Linked DNA regions of Saccharomyces cerevisiae S288C. Changing the gene in region 2 together with the main gene of any one other region gives a genetic interaction. Each region holds a gene or a part of one and is shown on either strand. Other genes may lie near its edges. The genes, in order: PUT3, TLD1, HFL1 and AFR1.

Evidence for each region.
Region 1: mutations in TLD1 (region 2) and PUT3 together harm fitness more than expected from each alone (negative genetic interaction), as found in Saccharomyces cerevisiae (one large-scale study listed by BioGRID).
Region 3: mutations in TLD1 (region 2) and HFL1 together harm fitness more than expected from each alone (negative genetic interaction), as found in Saccharomyces cerevisiae (one large-scale study listed by BioGRID).
Region 4: mutations in TLD1 (region 2) and AFR1 together harm fitness more than expected from each alone (negative genetic interaction), as found in Saccharomyces cerevisiae (one large-scale study listed by BioGRID).

The regions. Positions count from the first base shown.
Region 1 is NC_001143.9:406,411-412,730, reverse strand, and holds PUT3 (Put3p), read right to left. Parts: upstream 4,188-6,320; coding exon 1,248-4,187; downstream 1-1,247. Other genes in the region: URB1 (Urb1p), read left to right, coding at 1-1,112; ATP7 (F1F0 ATP synthase subunit d), read left to right, coding at 4,742-5,266; ATP-dependent 5'-3' DNA helicase HCS1, read left to right, coding at 5,490-6,320.
Region 2 is NC_001136.10:1,010,740-1,014,465, reverse strand, and holds TLD1 (triglyceride-associated lipolysis regulator TLD1), read right to left. Parts: upstream 2,215-3,726; coding exon 1,507-2,214; downstream 1-1,506. Other genes in the region: MTH1 (Mth1p), read left to right, coding at 1-65; PMP3 (Pmp3p), read left to right, coding at 823-990; YDR274C (uncharacterized protein), read left to right, coding at 2,506-2,877; DON1 (Don1p), read right to left, coding at 3,193-3,726.
Region 3 is NC_001143.9:528,432-533,117, forward strand, and holds HFL1 (Hfl1p), read left to right. Parts: upstream 1-2,514; coding exon 2,515-3,771; downstream 3,772-4,686. Other genes in the region: TRK2 (Trk2p), read left to right, coding at 1-2,053; MRS4 (Fe(2+) transporter), read right to left, coding at 4,119-4,686. UniProt on the Saccharomyces cerevisiae protein: Vacuole membrane protein that recruits ATG8 to facilitate the degradation of vacuolar integral membrane proteins during early-stationary vacuole turnover (EVT) when cells enter stationary phase.
Region 4 is NC_001136.10:612,782-618,038, forward strand, and holds AFR1 (Afr1p), read right to left. Parts: upstream 3,370-5,257; coding exon 1,507-3,369; downstream 1-1,506. Other genes in the region: RRP8 (25S rRNA (adenine645-N1)-methyltransferase), read left to right, coding at 1-470; TVP23 (Tvp23p), read right to left, coding at 624-1,223; translocon subunit SSS1, read right to left, coding at 4,147-4,389; RRP1 (Rrp1p), read right to left, coding at 4,689-5,257. UniProt on the Saccharomyces cerevisiae protein: Acts in conjunction with the alpha-factor receptor to promote morphogenesis and adaptation.

The DNA.
Region 1 (6,320 bases), on a different chromosome or scaffold from region 2:
ATGATGCTACTACAAGGTGTGACCTAGTCAAAAAGTACTACGATGATACCGAACGATCTGGTGTTGATATGTACGATCCATTATTTTTACTGCTATTAATAATCCATAACAAAGAGCTGGTAAAAATGGTCAAAGATGACGAGGGCAATGTAACATACAGATATGAATTTGAAAATTTCCTTGATTGCAAAATATTTCAGTTTATTATTTGCTCATTAAGCGATTGTCATACCGTTGCCAATATAAGTTACGAACATTTATCAAATTTAGCTTCTTCTTTGGAGAAGAAAACTGCCCAGATGAATCTTGAAAAGCAAATAACTAGCAAGGATAATGAAAGAAAAGAATCTGATAGCGATTTAATCAAATATAATAGCATTTACCAAGTGTTGATTAAAAGGATTTTATACCAGAGACAACAAAATCAAGATCCTATCAATCCGTTAATTTGGTTTTCTATCTCTAGAATTGTTGATCTATTGGGAAGTCCAACTGCGCCCTTACATGAGAAGGCATACCGCTGGGTATTATCAAATTCTACCATACGTAGTTGGGACATCCCTATGGTATCTGATGTGATGATGTCCTACAATAAGAGACAACAAGATGACAATAAGAAAGAAATTGATATGGAAATATACTATGGAGAATTGAGTTGGGTTTTAACAACCATTTGTAAGGGAATTAAAACGGATGAAGATTACAAGATGTTAGAGAAGAAAGGTGTATTTGAATGGTTGTTAAACTTGATCAATATGCCATACTTGAAAGAAAGATTACGCGAACTAATCTATTTTATTTTTTACAAAGTCCAAAGGGTAGCAGATGATGGTGGTTTGAATTTAATTAGCAGAAACGGTATTGTGTCGTTTTTCGAGGTTTTGAACAATAACATCAAATCTAGACTACCACAGGACGATATACTGAACAACATTGGTACTTTACGGAACGAAAACAGAGGTACATTAAATACTACTTTGAGGTTAGCCCAAGAACAAAACGGAATTGAAAAACTACTATTAGGCTACAACGAGCTTGTCAAATCACAAAAAAGGCTAATATTATGGACAGAAGGTGATAGCGACAATGTTGTCAAGAGGCTACGTAAATGAGCTGTCTTGTGATAGATATTTTAAATAAGATTTGAAGAATTAAATGTCCACTTTTCTATATAATGTGCGAAATGTATAATATATGCATAAGAAAACAAAGAAATCAGTATTTTCTTCTTTGTCTTTGTAATGGTGTTATGGTCCTAAATAATCAGTAAAGTCAATTTCACTACCAGCAGCTGCAGTTGGATCCATAGTATTTCCCAGCCACATTGCTTGATCAGTGATTTCCTTCCAAAGTTTTTCATCGGAATGATCAATATTGCCTAAATCCTCCAACAATTGTTGTAAATCGTCATCATTTAGATTATGAACGGAATCCAACTGATCCATGTTTTTTTCCATCACCTGAGAGCCCTTTTCAGTTAGCGTGGTTTGGTATGAATTTTCCAAGCTCGCAGTTATGATATCAAAAAAAGTAGAAGGTTCCGAGTTATTGACGTTAATATCATTAACATCATTATTACCATTACTATAATCAGTCAGCGTTGGTTTCGCGCCTTCCGGAAGTATGCTAACAATGTTCGATATAGATTCGTTCTTGATCATATTTGTATTGGTGTTTGATTTATCACAGTCTATAATTGAAGGGTCAATGCGATCGCCATCTTTGTGAGGTTTACACTTTTCGGTTTCTCTTTTGGGTTCATTGCTATCTTCTACTATGTTATCGTTTTCACAATTCATAGAATCAAATTTCAAAATATCGTTATATTTAGTAATCAAGTCATTCATTATGCCGTGGAAATCCAAATTTGCCATTAATGTTAATAATTGTGCTCTTCTTAAGCCTGCTGGAATGTTGCCTAAGTTTCTCATTTGTGTGAAAATTTCCAGAGAATGATCCAAATGATATAGTGTTTGTTCATGAATACCAAAAGCAGTGTTGAATAGTAATAAAGTACAAGAAGAAGTAAAAAGATACTCTCTGTCCATATAACTAAACATAGCAAGCATACTATTCTGTAATAAACTCCACAGAGACCTAATAGTATTCACAGAAGCATGCAAAGAACATGTTAATAAGGAAGATATTGTGGCAGAATAGTTTTGTAAGTTGACGAAAGTATTGCTCGTTTTGAACCTTTTCAATTGAATGGATGCAAAATGAAATAATAAAGGTCTCACGGCCAAGTTTATTCCTTGAAAATATTCCGTAAACATATTGGTTGACAATCTCGATATTTTGAAATCTTCATCCTTTTGCGTAAAATCCACCTGTAAGGAATCGGACAAATTGTTCCTCCATTCCAACAACTGCTTGATGACAACTTTCAAAGTAATTATGATGTTTGTCTCAGGTTGCCTTTGATATAATTTGCTCAAAATTTGTGCATTGATTTTCACAATAGTAACGCAGTTAGAAATCAATTCTGCCTTTCTGAAAACATAGTGACTATTTTTCTCTTCGATAGTTTCATCATCAATATCCGCTGGCAGTGCTGTAGAGATTGTATAATCAGTGAAACTTAATGGTAACCCAGCTTTTGAGCTAAGCATTCGTTCAAACATGTAAACTGTCCACCAAAGTCTCCTATGATGCTCGATTTCATACCTGGATAGAGTGTCGCTTTGAGAATCAACATGTAAGCCTAGAATTAAGCACGTCCTTAGGGCTTGACCGAAGTAAAAATAAGAGGCTAAAGTGTAATCAGCCACCTGTAAGAAGAACGCGTATAACAACAGGACTTCAATACCGCCTTTCTTAGTCACATTTTCTAATCTTTCACTTGAGAACAAACAATTAAAAATTTTAGAACCCATTTGAAAAAATTTTGAACCGGGCAATTTTGGCTGATTAGAATAATTCTTCAACATTTCATTATTGATGGAACCCAGATACATTTCACCTACTGCTAAAATTAACAAAATTTTGCAAAACCAAACAGCTTGTAAAATTGGATCATTCTCATTGTCCAAAGCTTTTTTGGTATTATCATAGTATAGCCATTTATTTTCCAAGTACAATTTGTTAATGCCACATTTAACCAGGCCTTCGTTGAAAAAGTAAAAACAACCATCGTTATAATTTATAAAGCAGTCAATTAATAGTTTTGTGTAATTATACGAAGGCAACTGAAACTGTATTACCTCTTCCTGGCCACTACTACCATCCGTATCGCTTTTCAAAATTATCTTAAACATCAATGGAGATAAATTATCGTTGATTGAGTTTAAGTTGACAATAGTCGATATAGGGTTCAAAAAATTATAGGACGAGAAAAGATAGTTGTTTGAATTGATAAAAGAACTTATAGCCGGGTTCAGGTTTGAATTTAAAATCTTGTTTTTGGTGTTTATTGGCAAAGGTCGAAAATTCTTGACCGAAATATACTTTGTAACCAAAGATTGAATTTCTAACCCAAATAATGTCATTGAAGAAGATCCAACAAAATAATGGAATCCATTGTGAGATTCTATGAGCCTACCACTTCTTTGAGCAAAATTTGTTGATATTTCTTCATCATCTTCATCATCATCCTCATGACCATTGGCACCGTTGCCATTTTCGCCATTAGCATTAGCTGGTTGTTTAAAGATGCTGATGGCCTTTTTGTAGTATTTTTCCAAACTATGATCATAGCTCCTATTATTTGTGATTCTGTTGCTGTTGTCATCGTCGTTATCGTTATCGGACGCAGTGTTACTATTGGACATGAGGTCAAATATAGGAGCCGCCGGAGCGCTGGATACTTCCAATGTGTCACTTGAGGGTGCATTGTTTATATGCCTCTCGTCATCATCGCTGTTATCCTTACCACGTACACTCACTGGTCTCTCCAAGAGCAAAGCTTTCAGGCGGTTATTCTCTTCAGTTTTATCATTCAAGTCTTTTTGCAGTTGTTGCAGATACTTTGTCGACACAACAATTTTTTTTGACGGCTCCAAGTACTCACATATGGCATTGCTCGTAACACATTTTTGGCAAGGGTTACCACCAGGACATTTTATATGACGTTTCCTACAAGAAAGGCATGCGACAGAAGATCTCTGCTGCCTTTTTTGCGGTTGTTTATTAACGTAGGCTGGTTGCTTAGATTGTATCGAATGCCTACTGCCTTGGTCGGTCACCATTAAACTCGTTAAGATCACTGCAATTATCCTATCAATGAGTTAGTTGGACCAGTGTCGTATTTATCGTTATTGTAATGGTTACTTACTAATTGCTGCTTAGAAAGCTTTAAATTGCCGCCGAAGTCAAGTATATCATCAAGCACCTGGTGGATGTTTTCATTTTTACTCCAATATTCGCCACCTCATTGCCGCGGAGAAATATCGTTTATAATGACATATCCGATGACTCAATCCCATAAACGAGGTATGGGTGTATATCACGTGATATATTATGCTCACGTGATGACCACGTGACTAATGAGCGGGTTACAAGAATTATTTTCTCTTCGATTTGATTGGATATTTGTCTTGATGCCCCCAAAAAAGTAAAAGATACACCAATTACCACTTGCTGCTTAGCGTAGGTGTAAAACATATTTCTACTAGTACAATACTTTTCTATATAAGTTTATATATTCATATTGACACGTAACGCAAAAGAACAATCTTAGGATTTAAAAGAAATTTTTCGTGCACTTAATTGCAGAATCACCTAATTATATTTTTGTTCGACTATGTCTTTGGCCAAATCCGCTGCTAACAAACTTGACTGGGCAAAAGTCATCTCTTCTCTACGTATAACAGGGTCGACTGCCACTCAATTATCGAGTTTTAAAAAGAGAAACGATGAGGCACGTAGACAATTACTAGAGCTGCAAAGTCAACCCACCGAAGTAGATTTCAGTCATTATAGATCTGTGTTGAAAAACACTTCAGTCATTGACAAGATAGAATCATACGTTAAGCAATATAAGCCGGTCAAAATCGATGCCTCCAAACAATTACAAGTGATTGAGTCTTTTGAAAAGCACGCAATGACCAACGCCAAGGAGACAGAATCCTTAGTTTCCAAGGAGTTAAAGGATTTGCAAAGCACCTTAGATAATATTCAATCTGCAAGACCTTTCGATGAATTAACTGTTGACGACCTGACAAAGATCAAACCTGAAATTGATGCTAAGGTAGAAGAGATGGTCAAGAAGGGTAAATGGGACGTACCTGGTTACAAGGACAGATTCGGCAATTTGAATGTGATGTAGTACCCTTTACCTCTATATATTACGCACCATATTCTATTATTTTTTTCACAGGTTTATATAACTGGCAAATATTATAATTAAACATTCTTACTGTCATATATACACAAATGTGCGCCTGCATATCCTTACGCTAAGAAAATCTTGTACGTTACATATATTTCAAAAATATGAAGGCTGATGTAAAGTTGTCTCTTGAGAAATATAGAAAAAAGAGTAGAGGGAAATGAACAAAGAATTGGCTTCTAAGTTTTTATCAAGCATCAAGCATGAACGTGAACAAGACATTCAAACAACTTCTAGGCTATTAACAACGCTATCTATCCAACAATTGGTGCAAAATGGCTTGGCAATAAACAACATACATCTAGAAAACATAAGATCCGGTCTCATTGGCAAATTATATATGGAACTGGGACCTAACTTGGCGGTTAACGACAAAATTCAAAGGGGTGATATTAAGGTTGGTGATATTGTTTTGGTACGCCCTGCAAAAACCAAAGTAAATACCAAGACTAAGCCCAAAGTCAAAAAGGTGTCTGAAGACTCCAATGGCGAGCAAGCGGAATGCTCAGGCGTTGTCTACAAAATGAGTGATACTCAAATCACCATAGCTCTAGAAGAATCTCAAGATGTTATTGCTACCACATTTTATTCTTATAGCAAACTTTACATTTTAAAGACTACCAATGTCGTCACGTATAATAGAATGGAATCCACAATGAGAAAACTGTCTGAAATTAGTTCACCCATACAAGACAAAATTATACAATACTTGGTAAACGAACGCCCCTTCATCCCCAATACAAACAGCTTTCAAAACATTAAATCTTTTTTAAACCCGAATCTGAATGACTCCCAGAAAACTGCCATTAATTTTGCCATTAACAATGACTTGACCATTATACATGGTCCTCCTGGTACGGGTAAAACATTCACATTAATTGAATTGATCCAGCAATTGCTAATTAAAAATCCTGAGGAGAGAATCTTAATTTGTGGGCCTTCCAATATTTCTGTGGATACGATTCTGGAGAGGCTAACGCCTCTTGTGCCG
Region 2 (3,726 bases):
CGCAATGTCAGGCACAAGTTTACCAAAGATTAGGATTGGATTGGCAGCCGGATTCAGTATCCTGAAGATACTAAAAAGAAACCTTCCCGATGGTTTTTTTGGAGACTCTTCGATTGTATCAATACTATCCCATGGACATCAGTTTTAATAGAGGAGCTCCAAATTCCCAAGGAATTGAGGAAGAAGCGCCAATGATTTATATATACAAACTAGCTGTTGCAGCTTTATAGAGATTTAGTAATAAGAATTTTATGGGAACGTGGTACCGTTATCGCAGTAAAGAGTCAAGGGTAGCGAAGATCAAACCATACGATGACGAAATACCTTTAGTTCTTAGCATCACCAATCGCAGACATCCAACGTATCCGTGCGCGTAATCCTTCTCTTGGTAGTTGAGCACAGCATACAGAAGAAGCCGCGCGCAAGCGGTAAATGTCTTTCCTCCGGCCTTCTAACCACCAAAACCGATCTCGGAACATGGGGGGGGGAAGGTCCTCTGAATCGAAAAACCCGAGACAGCGAGAGGGATTTTGCAGAAAATTACAAAGATCACTATTTACTGCTCCCCTCACTTCCGCAGTCCCCTAATAGCGGAAGATGCAATGGGTGTGGGCTCTGGGTGCCCTTTAACCACGCCCTCAAAAGGGGGTCCTGGTTATTTTGCGATGGGCGCCTCTATAAATACAAAAGAGGAAGTGAGTGTTTTTGTTTTGGAAGAGGGAAAGGAAAAAAAGAAGAAAATTTACTATCGGTTGTTGTTTTTCGCCAGTATAATACAATTGATTATACATTTTGAACTAAACAGCACAGCACAATACAACAATGGATTCTGCCAAGATCATTAACATTATATTATCCCTTTTCTTACCACCAGTCGCCGTTTTTCTAGCCCGTGGGTGGGGTACTGACTGTATAGTGGATATCATTTTGACCATTTTGGCTTGGTTCCCAGGTATGCTATATGCCTTGTACATTGTCCTACAAGATTAAGCTCATTCAATAAACGAAAGTAACTATCAAATGAAATAAGGAAGCAGTATTAGGAAACGGTATCAACATGTTCGGGTCACCCTCATTTTTATTTGTTTCCTTTCTTTTTTTTTGTTTCTCTTTCTCTTAAGGTTTCCTCCCCCGCTGTTAATTTTAACTACGTGTGTATTTTTTAATAATTAATTTTATCACAAAAAAAACTTCTCATCTTTTTTGCCTTTTATCATTTTTGTACTTTTTTCTTCGCTTAAAATACACATGATATAGACGCTTAACTATCTGTCCTGCAAGTTTGTTTATCTATATAAATATAGCCAGTATCATCCGTTTACCTGTGTTGTAGAGTTCCAAAAGATAGAACAGCCTTTTATCAGATGGGTGGCAGACCCTTACCCATATTATCTCTCTTATTTTGTTTTTATTTCTCTCTAGCCTTATAATTATTTTTAGTTTCCTTTCTGTAGCAATAAGTGTTCTTAGCAGTGGCGTTGCGTTGCCTTGACCTTGATTATCAATTTAAGCAGCTTTCTGCTCACAAGCCACTTCAAAACGACTCGTGAATGATTTTTCGATCAATGATATCTTATCATAATTCGGATTTGATAGGAAATCATCATCCTCTTCCTCGTAGTAGGCGTCTTCCCTCCTTTCATTAACAAGTTTATTCTGCTTCACAAATGTAACTGTACTAGTTGAATTCAAACGCCTACTTTTGTTAACACTACCTGAACTAATATCATATTCCAGACCAGCTGTAGTATGATTGATCAATGATTCTGAGGATTCATTTAGCATATTAATTATCTCCTCATCAATAACTATTTCCTCCTTTCCGCTTATGGGACCACTGGTCTTTTCTTTTCCATCTGCCACCGGTAATGATGATCTATTGTAGTGGAATAACTTGCAACCGTAATCAAGCAACCTGCACATGTAGAGGAATAGATCGATCGCGTCCAGTATGATAATAGGCAACAGCAATACGATGACACCCAAAGAGCACATCAACTGGAAAATGCCAAACATTAACATCAGTCCTGATCTTATTTCGGATAATATCCCGCAGTGCCACGTCAAAGATAGTACCTTATCAAAGGCGTGGTTGATAATAACAAGTGCTAATCGGCTATTTGACATGATCTCTTCCTTTCCTGATGAGTTCTTGGTATCGTGATCGATCACAGTTGAACCTATAAGTTTTCTAAGCTTCGGGAAAAAAAACATTGTAACTAAAGGCAATAATGGATGCAGATGCCTGGCAAGGAAGGAAGAAAAAAAGACAATAGAATGCCGTTGGTATATATTCTCCGGCTGCCCCGTCAAAGGACTTCTAAAAACTAATATCAAGAAAATCAAAAAAAAAAATCAAAAAAAAAAATAAAGGAAAAAAAAAGATCTCTATCTTTATGTCGGTAGATATGACACTCCCTTCACGTTTATCATCTCTTGAACCTTTTCTAGTTCATCTACACCGTTCCTATTATCTTTCTTTTGCCCCCTTCTCTTCCCTCGTACATGTTTTCTTGCCTTTTACATTCCTCACGCCCTACTGACAGCTATTGCACTTTGGCGGCACCACTCAGCCAGACTGCCCGTACCCGTACGATGACCTTCCATGCAGCCACGGCGAAACGCAAGACCGAGCATTCGGGAATCAAGGAATCTAACTTGCATTTGTCCCGGGTCCTACTAAGCTCTTTCTGCCGTGCAAAAGGACGTTTCGTTTCGTTTTTCATATGCTATCCATTTCCTTTTGGGCTAACTAGGTTTCCGCGGGTTTTGTGGTCAATAGGACTCGACAAATCATTATTTACGCGCGTGCATTTTTCGCCATCATTCTTTTCCCTTCTTGCACCACTACAATTTTCCGGGATTGTACGATCGTAGGAAACTACTTACCGTCAGCGTTGCTCAAAAAGGCCCACATTATTTTCTTCCGTTAGTCCTGTTTTTATATTGTCCTGAAGTTTCCCGGCGCTAACTTCCTGGCTTTCCATTGAGTTTGAATTGTTGAGTAAAAACTAGTGTGCCATTGCTAGATGAACGTCATTTCCGCCCACACATCGACTGATGAATGACTCCATTTTGAGAACTAGATATACAACAAAGGCAAATAAGCGCAGAAGAAGCAATGGTGGTGTCTGTTCATTGCGAGCCCAAACGCACTTTGCCGAAAGAGTTAATAAACATTACCGCTATACACTACGTAAAACTTAATTCTTGTCTAGATGGATGAACCTGCTTTTTTTCATCTTTAGCGTCAGCTGCAAATAGACCACAACTATCAGTGCCAAAGGCAGATTTGTATCCACCGTCGTCCTTGGCAGGTAACCTATCTGCACTGTCACGCTGAGCCTCCGGCACTTCAGTATTACCGCCCTGGTTCTTCCTTTCTTGATTCGACGTATTGGTTTCGACATCTTGCTCTTCTTCTTCCTCGCTTTCGTCGCAGTTTAAAACGTCAAATAAATTGTTTGAAGGCTCATTTCTCTTCACAGTGACGGGAATGCGATTATTCTTCAATGACTTCGCAACAACTTTCACAGCGGCGCCTTTTAAGCTGTTAACTCCCTTTTCTTCTCCCTTCTCCTTTTCCTCCTCTTTTCCCTTCTCTTTTCCCTTGAGTATACTATCTTCGTTTGATAAAATTGTATTATGGCCCTCTGCAACAGCCACGTTCCTAGTCGATTCGGCGACTTCTCTATTCGATCCGGGGGTGCTAATGTTGCCAATGTG
Region 3 (4,686 bases), on a different chromosome or scaffold from region 2:
GTCCGCATTGTCCTCAATCTCACCGTTGAATGTTTCCTCCTCTAAGGAGGAATCCAGTGACACGCAAAGCTCGCCTCCAAACTTCTCAAGTAAGCGCCAACCCTCAGACGTTGACCCAAGAGACATTTACAAATCGATAATGATGCTACAAAAACAACAAGAGAAGAGCAACGCAAACTCCACGGATTCTTTTTCGAGCGAGACCAATGGACCCGCTTTCATTGTGCAGGAACGTCATGAGAGAAGAGCCCCCCACTGCTCACTGAAACGCCATTCTGTCCTGCCATCTTCTCAGGAATTGAACAAGCTAGCCCAGACGAAAAGTTTCCAGAAATTGCTTGGCTTGCGGAGAGATGAAGGTGACCATGACTACTTTGACGGTGCTCCTCACAAATATATGGTCACCAAGAAGAAAAAAATATCTAGAACGCAATCATGTAACATCCCAACGTATACTGCTTCACCGAGTCCTAAAACCTCAGGCCAAGTAGTTGAAAATCATAGAAACTTGGCCAAGTCGGCGCCTTCATCTTTTGTTGATGAGGAGATGAGCTTTTCACCGCAAGAGTCTTTGAATTTACAGTTCCAAGCGCACCCGCCCAAACCAAAACGACGTGAAGGTGATATAGGCCACCCCTTCACCAGAACAATGAGCACCAACTATCTATCGTGGCAGCCAACCTTTGGCAGAAACTCCGTCTTCATTGGACTCACAAAGCAACAAAAGGAGGAACTCGGCGGTGTCGAATATCGTGCTTTGAGATTGCTGTGCTGCATTCTCATGGTATACTACATCGGATTCAACATTTTGGCGTTTGTGACCATCGTTCCATGGGCCTGTACGAGGCACCACTACTCAGAGATTATTAGACGAAATGGAGTTTCTCCAACCTGGTGGGGGTTTTTCACTGCAATGAGTGCATTCAGCAACTTGGGTCTGTCTTTGACCGCTGATTCAATGGTTTCCTTTGATACTGCGCCGTATCCGCTGATTTTCATGATGTTCTTCATCATCATAGGCAATACAGGCTTCCCAATTATGTTACGATTTATCATTTGGATCATGTTCAAGACCTCGAGAGACCTATCTCAGTTTAAGGAAAGTCTTGGGTTTCTCTTGGATCATCCGCGCAGGTGTTTTACGTTGCTGTTCCCCAGCGGCCCCACATGGTGGCTGTTTACAACTTTAGTCGTCTTAAACGCTACGGATTGGATTCTTTTCATAATTCTGGATTTCAACTCCGCTGTAGTAAGGCAGGTTGCTAAAGGTTATCGAGCTCTCATGGGCCTCTTCCAGTCTGTATGCACAAGAACTGCTGGATTCAACGTTGTTGACTTAAGTAAATTACACCCGTCCATTCAGGTGTCTTATATGCTAATGATGTACGTTTCGGTCCTGCCGCTGGCGATTTCCATTAGAAGAACGAATGTTTATGAGGAGCAATCGTTGGGACTATACGATAGTGGACAAGATGACGAAAATATCACCCACGAAGACGATATAAAGGAAACAGACCATGATGGCGAATCCGAAGAGCGAGACACTGTATCTACAAAGTCCAAGCCGAAGAAACAGTCCCCAAAATCGTTTGTTGGTGCTCATTTGAGGAGGCAACTCTCTTTTGATTTATGGTACCTATTCCTTGGATTATTTATAATATGCATATGCGAGGGCAGAAAAATCGAAGACGTTAATAAACCTGATTTCAATGTCTTTGCTATATTGTTTGAAGTTGTTAGCGCTTATGGTACAGTGGGTTTGTCATTGGGTTACCCAAACACCAACACATCACTATCTGCCCAGTTCACCGTATTATCGAAGCTAGTCATAATTGCCATGCTAATAAGAGGAAGAAATAGAGGTTTACCATACACTTTGGATCGTGCCATCATGCTGCCAAGTGACAAACTGGAACAAATTGATCGTTTACAAGATATGAAAGCTAAGGGTAAGTTGTTAGCCAAAGTTGGTGAGGATCCAATGACTACTTACGTCAAAAAGAGATCCCACAAACTGAAAAAAATAGCAACAAAGTTTTGGGGGAAGCATTAAAATCAAGTTTACCCCTCTTTACCTACATAAGAGCCAACGTAATTTTCTCTCAGTATTATATGTATTATCTCCGAAGTTTATTATTCTTTAACGAAATATAAAAGAAAAATAAGAAAGATTAAGACCCTAAAAGGTGTACCACTACGATTCAACAAGCACAACGAATCCTATCCGTAATATACTTTTGATTTCTGACTATTCTAGAAAAATTTTAGTTCATTTTTTTTCCCTCTTTTTACTTATTGTATTTTTCACAATTGAATTGCATTTTGTCCCCTACGAAAAAAGGCAGAAAACGAGATCTAAACCACTTTCAGATCAGAATAATAATAATAATAATAACCAACCAAAGCCATCAACAGGTCCACTAGAAGCATCTGCCAAGTTACGACCTAAGCAAAGGTTTGAGTGAAAAGTGAATTGCGACAGTACAATCACAAAAGTATAGAAACATAATTGTTATGGAAAACAAACTACTTTGTTGGTGGTTGTACTGGCCATGCGTGTATTCATCTATTATAGCTACCATAATATCTTTTTACACCATAACTAGACACTTATTAAATTACCGTAAACCATATGAACAAAGACTATCCATACGGATACTATTGCTCGTGCCCATTTTTAGTGTGTCATGCGCAAGTGGCATAATTAAGCCTGAAGCAGCTCAATTTTATGTCGATCCTATCAGAGAATTTTATGAAGCATTCGTTATTTACACTTTTTTCACATTTTTAACACTACTACTAGGAGGCGAGAGGAACATCATTACTGTTTTAAGCTTAAATCACGCCCCCACAAGACATCCGATACCGCTAATAGGTAAAATTTGCAAACCGATAGACTTATCTGATCCTTTTGATTTTCTTTTTGTCAAAAAAGGCATATTACAGTATGTTTGGTTCAAACCATTTTATTGTTTTGGTACATTGATATGCAGTGCATGGAAGCTACCCAAATTCGAAATATTTTTGAACGTTTTTTATAATATTTCAGTGACTTGGTCACTGTATAGTTTAGCACTATTTTGGAAGTGTCTCTATCCGGAATTAACTCCTTATAAACCATGGTTGAAATTTTTATGTGTCAAATTGATTATTTTTGCCTCTTATTGGCAGAGCATCATAATCCAGGGTCTAGTGGTTACTGGAAAGTTGGGTACGGGAAACCAAGATCGAACCTCTGGATATGTGTACAAGAATGGGCTCCTGTGTATAGAGATGGTGCCTTTCGCCATCTTGCATGCAGTAGCTTTCCCTTGGAACAAATACACAGCATTTAGCATACCTTATGGGGCCAGGATGAAATTCATTTACGCTTTGAAAGATTTTCTTGGTTGCGGTGATCTAATATGGGATTTTAAACAGACTTTGTTTGCTGGTCCCTTGTACTATAATTATAGGAACTTCGATCCTGAAGCCATGGATCTATTAAGCACTAGACAACAATCCGGTGCGACTATGGAAAGACTAAAGCATGGGCTAAGATTTACTGATAATGGAAGAAATAGTTATTGGGTGGCATATGGGAGTATAGATAACAACCTTGTTCCGGAATCAATAGAGGAATCATGGGAAGATGATATTGCTGGTCAGAGAACTTTTCCTGAGGATCCAAATTATCCGGTTGTTCACGACTACACGATGGGCCATCGATATAGTAGATCAATGAATGATTTAAGAAGAGATGTTCAAAGTAGGTCATCAATGGCTTGTTAAATGAGTCGTTAAATGTACGTATATACATAGTTACTGCGCTTTCGGTTATATACAAAATAAAACAACATCTACAAGCAATGCTTTTTTTTCAATTATTGTAACTTGGATGCTTATTCTAATAAAATGAAATAAATGCTACTGTAATTTTTTGCCGGAGGATTGGCTATATATGCAGAGTGGGAGTTGGACGATATCACCATTATTATTATTTTTCTATTATTACCATTGGACTTGTCTTTTGCAGCAACAAAAGTGGCAGCAGCAGCAACAGCACCACCACCAATGCATTTTGGCCTTGCCTTTTATAAGTTGTCAAAAAAAGTTGACCTCGAAAAGGGGAAAAAACATCAATTTTTCATTAAAAAATGCTTAGCACATTCATATGCAGTCCAAGAAATGGCAGTGGCTGGTATATTAGCCACTATCCTTGGTTTCAAACCTCGCCAAAACCCCTTCCAACCATGAACCTCCAGTATGGCTCTTGAGGCTCTACCAAAAGTGTTCGCATCCTTCATTATTTCGATGGAGACAGTTTCGCTGCCTCTAACCTGTAATACAGTCTTTATGCAATCCAACGGTGTAGTTAACGCAGCACATGTTGCACCACTTATCCCACCGCAAAGACAATGAATCAATGGATTGTAGGAATTTTGTGGGTTGAAGAATTTGCTGGCAGATTCATATATCATGAAATTGAACGCTGCAAATGGGATATTCATGGCCAATGTTGTGGGATAGGAGTAGTAAAATGCTGCAAAGCCTTCATTTTGATATATTTGCTTAGTAACATTCCAAACTCTTAGATTAGTATCCAATTGTAGTCTTTGTTTAACGGTGTCAAAGGGGTTCATCAATGCATCCGCAGCAATGGTAGCAATGGTACCACTCAGTGCGGTCTTCATTGGTTGATGAGTT
Region 4 (5,257 bases), 400 kb from region 2:
AAGTCCACAGTTTTGATTTGAAGAAAGCTAACGAAAGAATAACTGTGGCAGATATTAGAAATGTGCCGCTACCAGATGAGTCCTGTACTATAGTGGTCTTCTGCCTGGCTCTAATGGGTACAAATTTCCTCGATTTCATAAAAGAAGCTTATAGGATTTTAGCGCCAAGGGGTGAATTATGGATCGCAGAAATTAAATCAAGGTTTAGTGACGGCAAAGGTAATGAATTTGTAGACGCTTTGAAGCTGATGGGATTTTTTCACAAAAAGACCTTCGACGAGAATAAGATGTTTACAAGATTCGAATTTTTCAAGCCACCTGCGGAGATTATTGAAGAGAGAAGGCAGAAATTGGAAAGAAGACAAAAGTTTATTGAAGTTGAAACTGAGAAGGAAGAATTAGAAAAGAAAAGACGGAAAATTGCCGAAGGAAAATGGCTCTTGAAGCCCTGTATTTATAAAAGAAGATAACGACTTCATCCGTCATTTTCATATTTTAATATTGTTTTTTCTTTTGTATACTATATTTATACATATAATTGTATTCTTTTCCTGTAGTACATTGCGTAAAGTAAAAATCATCTAGAAGAAGTACTCCACAATGTTCACATGAGGGACAAGGTTTTATTGTCTCTGGAAAAACGATTGGATATTAGCCAGCCTTGAAAGATTTTCAAAGCCCGGAACAGAAGGAAGAGCGAACCAATTATTAGTATCTTGACCGTCAGATTGTCCACTATTGGGCTCCCATCTATCGCAACAACGAAATCCATACGTGTTCCAGGCGGTCAGACACATTGCAACAATGACCAAAATCAGGTAGAATATTTTCAGTCTTAAAAGACACAACACAGCGAAGACACCCCAGATTACGGGTGTCACATACATCGACCACCAGAATAACTTAGAATCGATGGCATTTATTGGTGGGCCCGGCGCATATTGCTTATATGATTCGAAAGTAAAATTAGAATCTTTGTTCACATCTGTAGAATCATACCACCAGCGTAATTGGACCAGTTTCCGACCTGTAATGTTTTTTGTTAAGTAAAAGTCAAAAGAAAGTAAAAGAACGACAGTGATGAATTGAGGTGTGAAATTCAAAAACATTGATCCTATGATATAAAATACAATGGGAACTGCCTTACCTGCCAGATGAAATGATAGTAGCAACGGGTGCGACGATTTTAAAATTGTGTTGTAGAAATTTCTTGCCTGGTCCATGTTTCATTCGTAATTAGAGCACCAGCAGGTTTATAAAAGCGTATTGAACCGTAAATCCTTTAAGAACCACGCTTTTCTACATTTACATTATGTACAGTTAAAATGGAAACGAAATCCCTTTTCACCCAAAGGCGCATTGCGGACAAATAATAGGTTCGAGGTCAAGGTAAACAGGAAGCAAGATGCAAAAGAAGTAACTGGAATGGAATGTATACATTGATATATAAATATGTATGACGCCTTCTATTGCAAAAAATAAACTGGATTATGTTACGTTAATAACTCAAATTAAATAATGTGTAAAGCACTTGCTGTTCTCATGGACAACCATCTCATTTTTTTTGTAAGAGTTAAGTTCAAGTTTGATCTCATTCATGGCACTATTCATGCTTGGATGTACTTTCATCATCCACAACAATCTGTGGCGATTCATAATGAATTCCGGATTAGCTCTCTCATATGCATTCGATGACCAAGTGCTTGCTAAACATACTTCTTTTGCAAACCGGACATCTTTTTTTATTGGTTTTGGAGGTGTTTCGACTTTATCAAATGAGGAATCTGGCAGCGAATTCCTTCTATCTTCGAATCTGATATACTCCCAGTCATTTCTCAACCTATTTACCATGTCGTTCCCAACATGCATTGGTAAGCTTATTGGACCTGACAGAGACTGTCGCAAATCTGTCGATATGTTGTAGAAGTATCGTGCAGATTCATTGTCATCTAATGAAGGCCTCTTGGACGATCTTGGTGGTGGTTGATTTCTCGTGTCGATTATATATTCACCGAGCTTTGAAAATTCTTCGATTATGGTCTTGTCGATCAAACCTTCATTGACATTATGCTTTTCGGTATCTCGAAAAGAAACCTTGCCATCGTCGTTGTGCGAGGTCTCGTGGAGCTTTTGTCGTATTTCTAATTGCCTTCGCCTCAAATCGTATTTATCATTTTCCTTGGACAACAGATCATCAAAAATTGAATCTGTATCCATTAGAGTTTCGTCGTCGTCAAATTCAATGCCGTCCAGATTTGCATCCATTAATTCAATATCATTCTCAGCTTCAGAATTTCCATCAGAATGCGTAACCATATCATCGATAGGAATTCTCCTTCTTTTTGTATCCTTTTTTCCATGCTTTGTATTCGAGTTTCCTGAAGTACGCCATAATTTCTTCAAAACAGAACCCAGTTTCAACTTCGATTGTGACTTTATACATCTATATTTCTCAGTGCCCAGAATAGTCTTTTTCTTTCTATCAAATAGGCCTGAATTAGTTGTTGGCTTAGTTTTTTCCTTAGTTGATAAATCCAATTTTTCTATATGGCTACCATGTTTTTCATTTACCGTATTTTCGAAGCAATAAGATATAGTTACAGTTTTATTTTCATAACCGTCATCATCATCAGTTTGACTTTCTGGCAAGCTGGTCAGGGTATTAACAGCAGATATCGGAGAGGTTGATGAAACCGAACTTTTTATTGTTGAAGGAACTGAAGTGTTCAGCTCCAAGCTATTTACACCGTAGCCTGTATCATTGGGAGGAATATGTATGACTGATGTCCCATTATGAGGCCCCACAAAATCTTTTGATAAATTGCGACCTTTCTTCTCGCTGAATTTGAATAAAGAAGAGTCTCTTGAATTTAATTCAGGCTTTTTCAAGCTGTGGGTGCATTTTCCATCAAGTTTTGGCTTGTATATTTCGCCATTGGGAAATTGAAAGCTTCTTTTCATTTTAGAGCGCTGCAGTTGATAAGGTGTTAATTCTTTATATACTCCGAAAGTGTACTGTGGCTTCTGGTATTGGCTCACATAATCTTGATCATTATTGAACCCCTCATGGTAAGAGTTTCTTTCCCTAACTGTGAATAGCGCAGTTCTCTTTCTTTGCTGGGCGGCTGTCATTGAACAGGACCTTACTGGAAATTTTCTAGCTGCTGTCACAGACCTACAGTCTATCTCGCCACTATAAATGTGTCTCTTCTTATTCGGGTTCGAATAATTGTAATCAGCATCATTCCTAACATTGAGTTTAGAGAATGTACTAGACAAAGCAAACAAATTCGAAGTTGAGTTCGACCTAGGTATCAATCGCTCCGGTATGGGTTGGTTTTCTTGTGCAGATAGATATGAGCCCTCCATTATTATCAGCAGTTTGTGGTAACACCTAATATGGCCTATCTGGATAATGAGATAGCCCCTTCCCTTTTTCCAGTTTTCTTTTTCTTTTGTTCCTATATTATATGAAGCCGGTATATATATTTATGTAGAATAAGCTTTTAGCAGGCGTCCCATTAAAGTCGTCAAGGTAAGTCGGGCCCAATAAACTTGTTGAAAGGGTGAGAGAGAAAGTGCTAAAAGGAAGCCAAACCTTTGTGAAACCTGGGGTATGTCGAGCATATAATCAAAAATAAGACGTACTACTCAAAAAGGAAATGCATGGGAAAAAGAGGCAGCGAAAAAGGAAAAGTGAGTGCCCATCTATTTTTAGGCGCTGTTCCGTTCAGGGATCGTACTTGTTTCATATCAGTGGTAGCAACGTGGTAGCACGGAAGAATTTGACAAGGAGCTAAACGTCATATCGCCAAGGAACGGTTTTTCGTTTCAAGGTCGTTGGAGAGCTTTTCCATGATCGGTATGGAGCTTAAATAAAGGGAAAGGAACAATGATACGTTTATGCTTATTCGGCAAATAGAAAACATGTTTAATACAGAAAATGCAGTAATATTATATGGGAAGAATCAAGACTCTTGCCTTCCACCTCTTTAGAGTAAATTCTTATATAGGGCTGAACATATACACACTATACCGATAGAAAGGTTATAATTTAAAGGGAAAAATGCACATAAAGAATACTACTTAATTTTGATTTTTGGTTCTGGTGCCGTTGTTTTTATTTTTTCTCGTCTTTTATCTCTTTTAAACAATAACGTATCTGATTGGAATATGAATCAACTTGATGGCGTAACCAATGATACCGACTGCAATAAAACCAATACCAACAGCCTTGACAATCTTGGTGTATTCCTTCAAATCAGGTTTCTTACACTTGGCCAAGAATTGAGTACCTTCTCTGACAAATTCTACAGGTGCTTCAACCAGCTTTTCAACCTGGTTGTTGCTCTGCTTTTTCTCTTCACCTTTTTCACTAGCTCTAGCCATTTTATTTTTCAATGTTATACGTGATTTTATCTTTGGTAAACTAGCGTAGTGCGGACAATGGACACGAGTTATGGACAATACACGCCAATCTGTACTATTTTCCTTGTTTAATTTAATCACTAGTATTCTTTCATTTCAAAACGAAAAAAAAATAAAAAAAATGTTGCGAGGAAAAAAAGGCGACGTGTTTCGCATTCCGCCAATATCCACAGAGGGTAATGAATTTTTCGTACTATAGATATACAACTACAATTTATATGAGCGACTTACGATTACTTACATACTACCGCCAGGAAGAATCAAAATCCCTTCCACTCTTCCTCTTCCTCTTCTTCAGATTCGTTACTGGAATCATTATGTTGCGTTTCGCCTTCAAGAATATCCCAGGAAACAAGTCTGGTGTCACTGAATAGGTCTTCTTTGATCTTCTCTCTCAACACCTTACTGTTATTGTAATCTGCCACGATATCTTGGAAAATTGCGATAACATCGGCTAGTGGCGTTTTTTTTGCGCTCTCTGCAATTTTGCGCATCTCTTCCTCTTTGTTTTCCTCGTCTTCATCGTCTTCATCTCCATCTTTAAGCAATCTTTCCCATTCGTCCAGCAGAATATCGACGATATGAATTGGAATCCCTGTGTAGACCTTTGGACTTCCACTCAGAGGTAACCACCTCAACACTTTCTTAATATACTCGTCGACTAATTTTTTGTCCCAGTTTCTGGACTGCAAATACTTCAATTGACTGAATAATACCCTTCTTATCAATAGAAGATACTTATCCAACCTATATCTGTCAATGTTAAACCATTCAAAGCACATGACCTTCCAAAACCCTCTGCTAAACTTTATAAATGCTTTATCGTTTG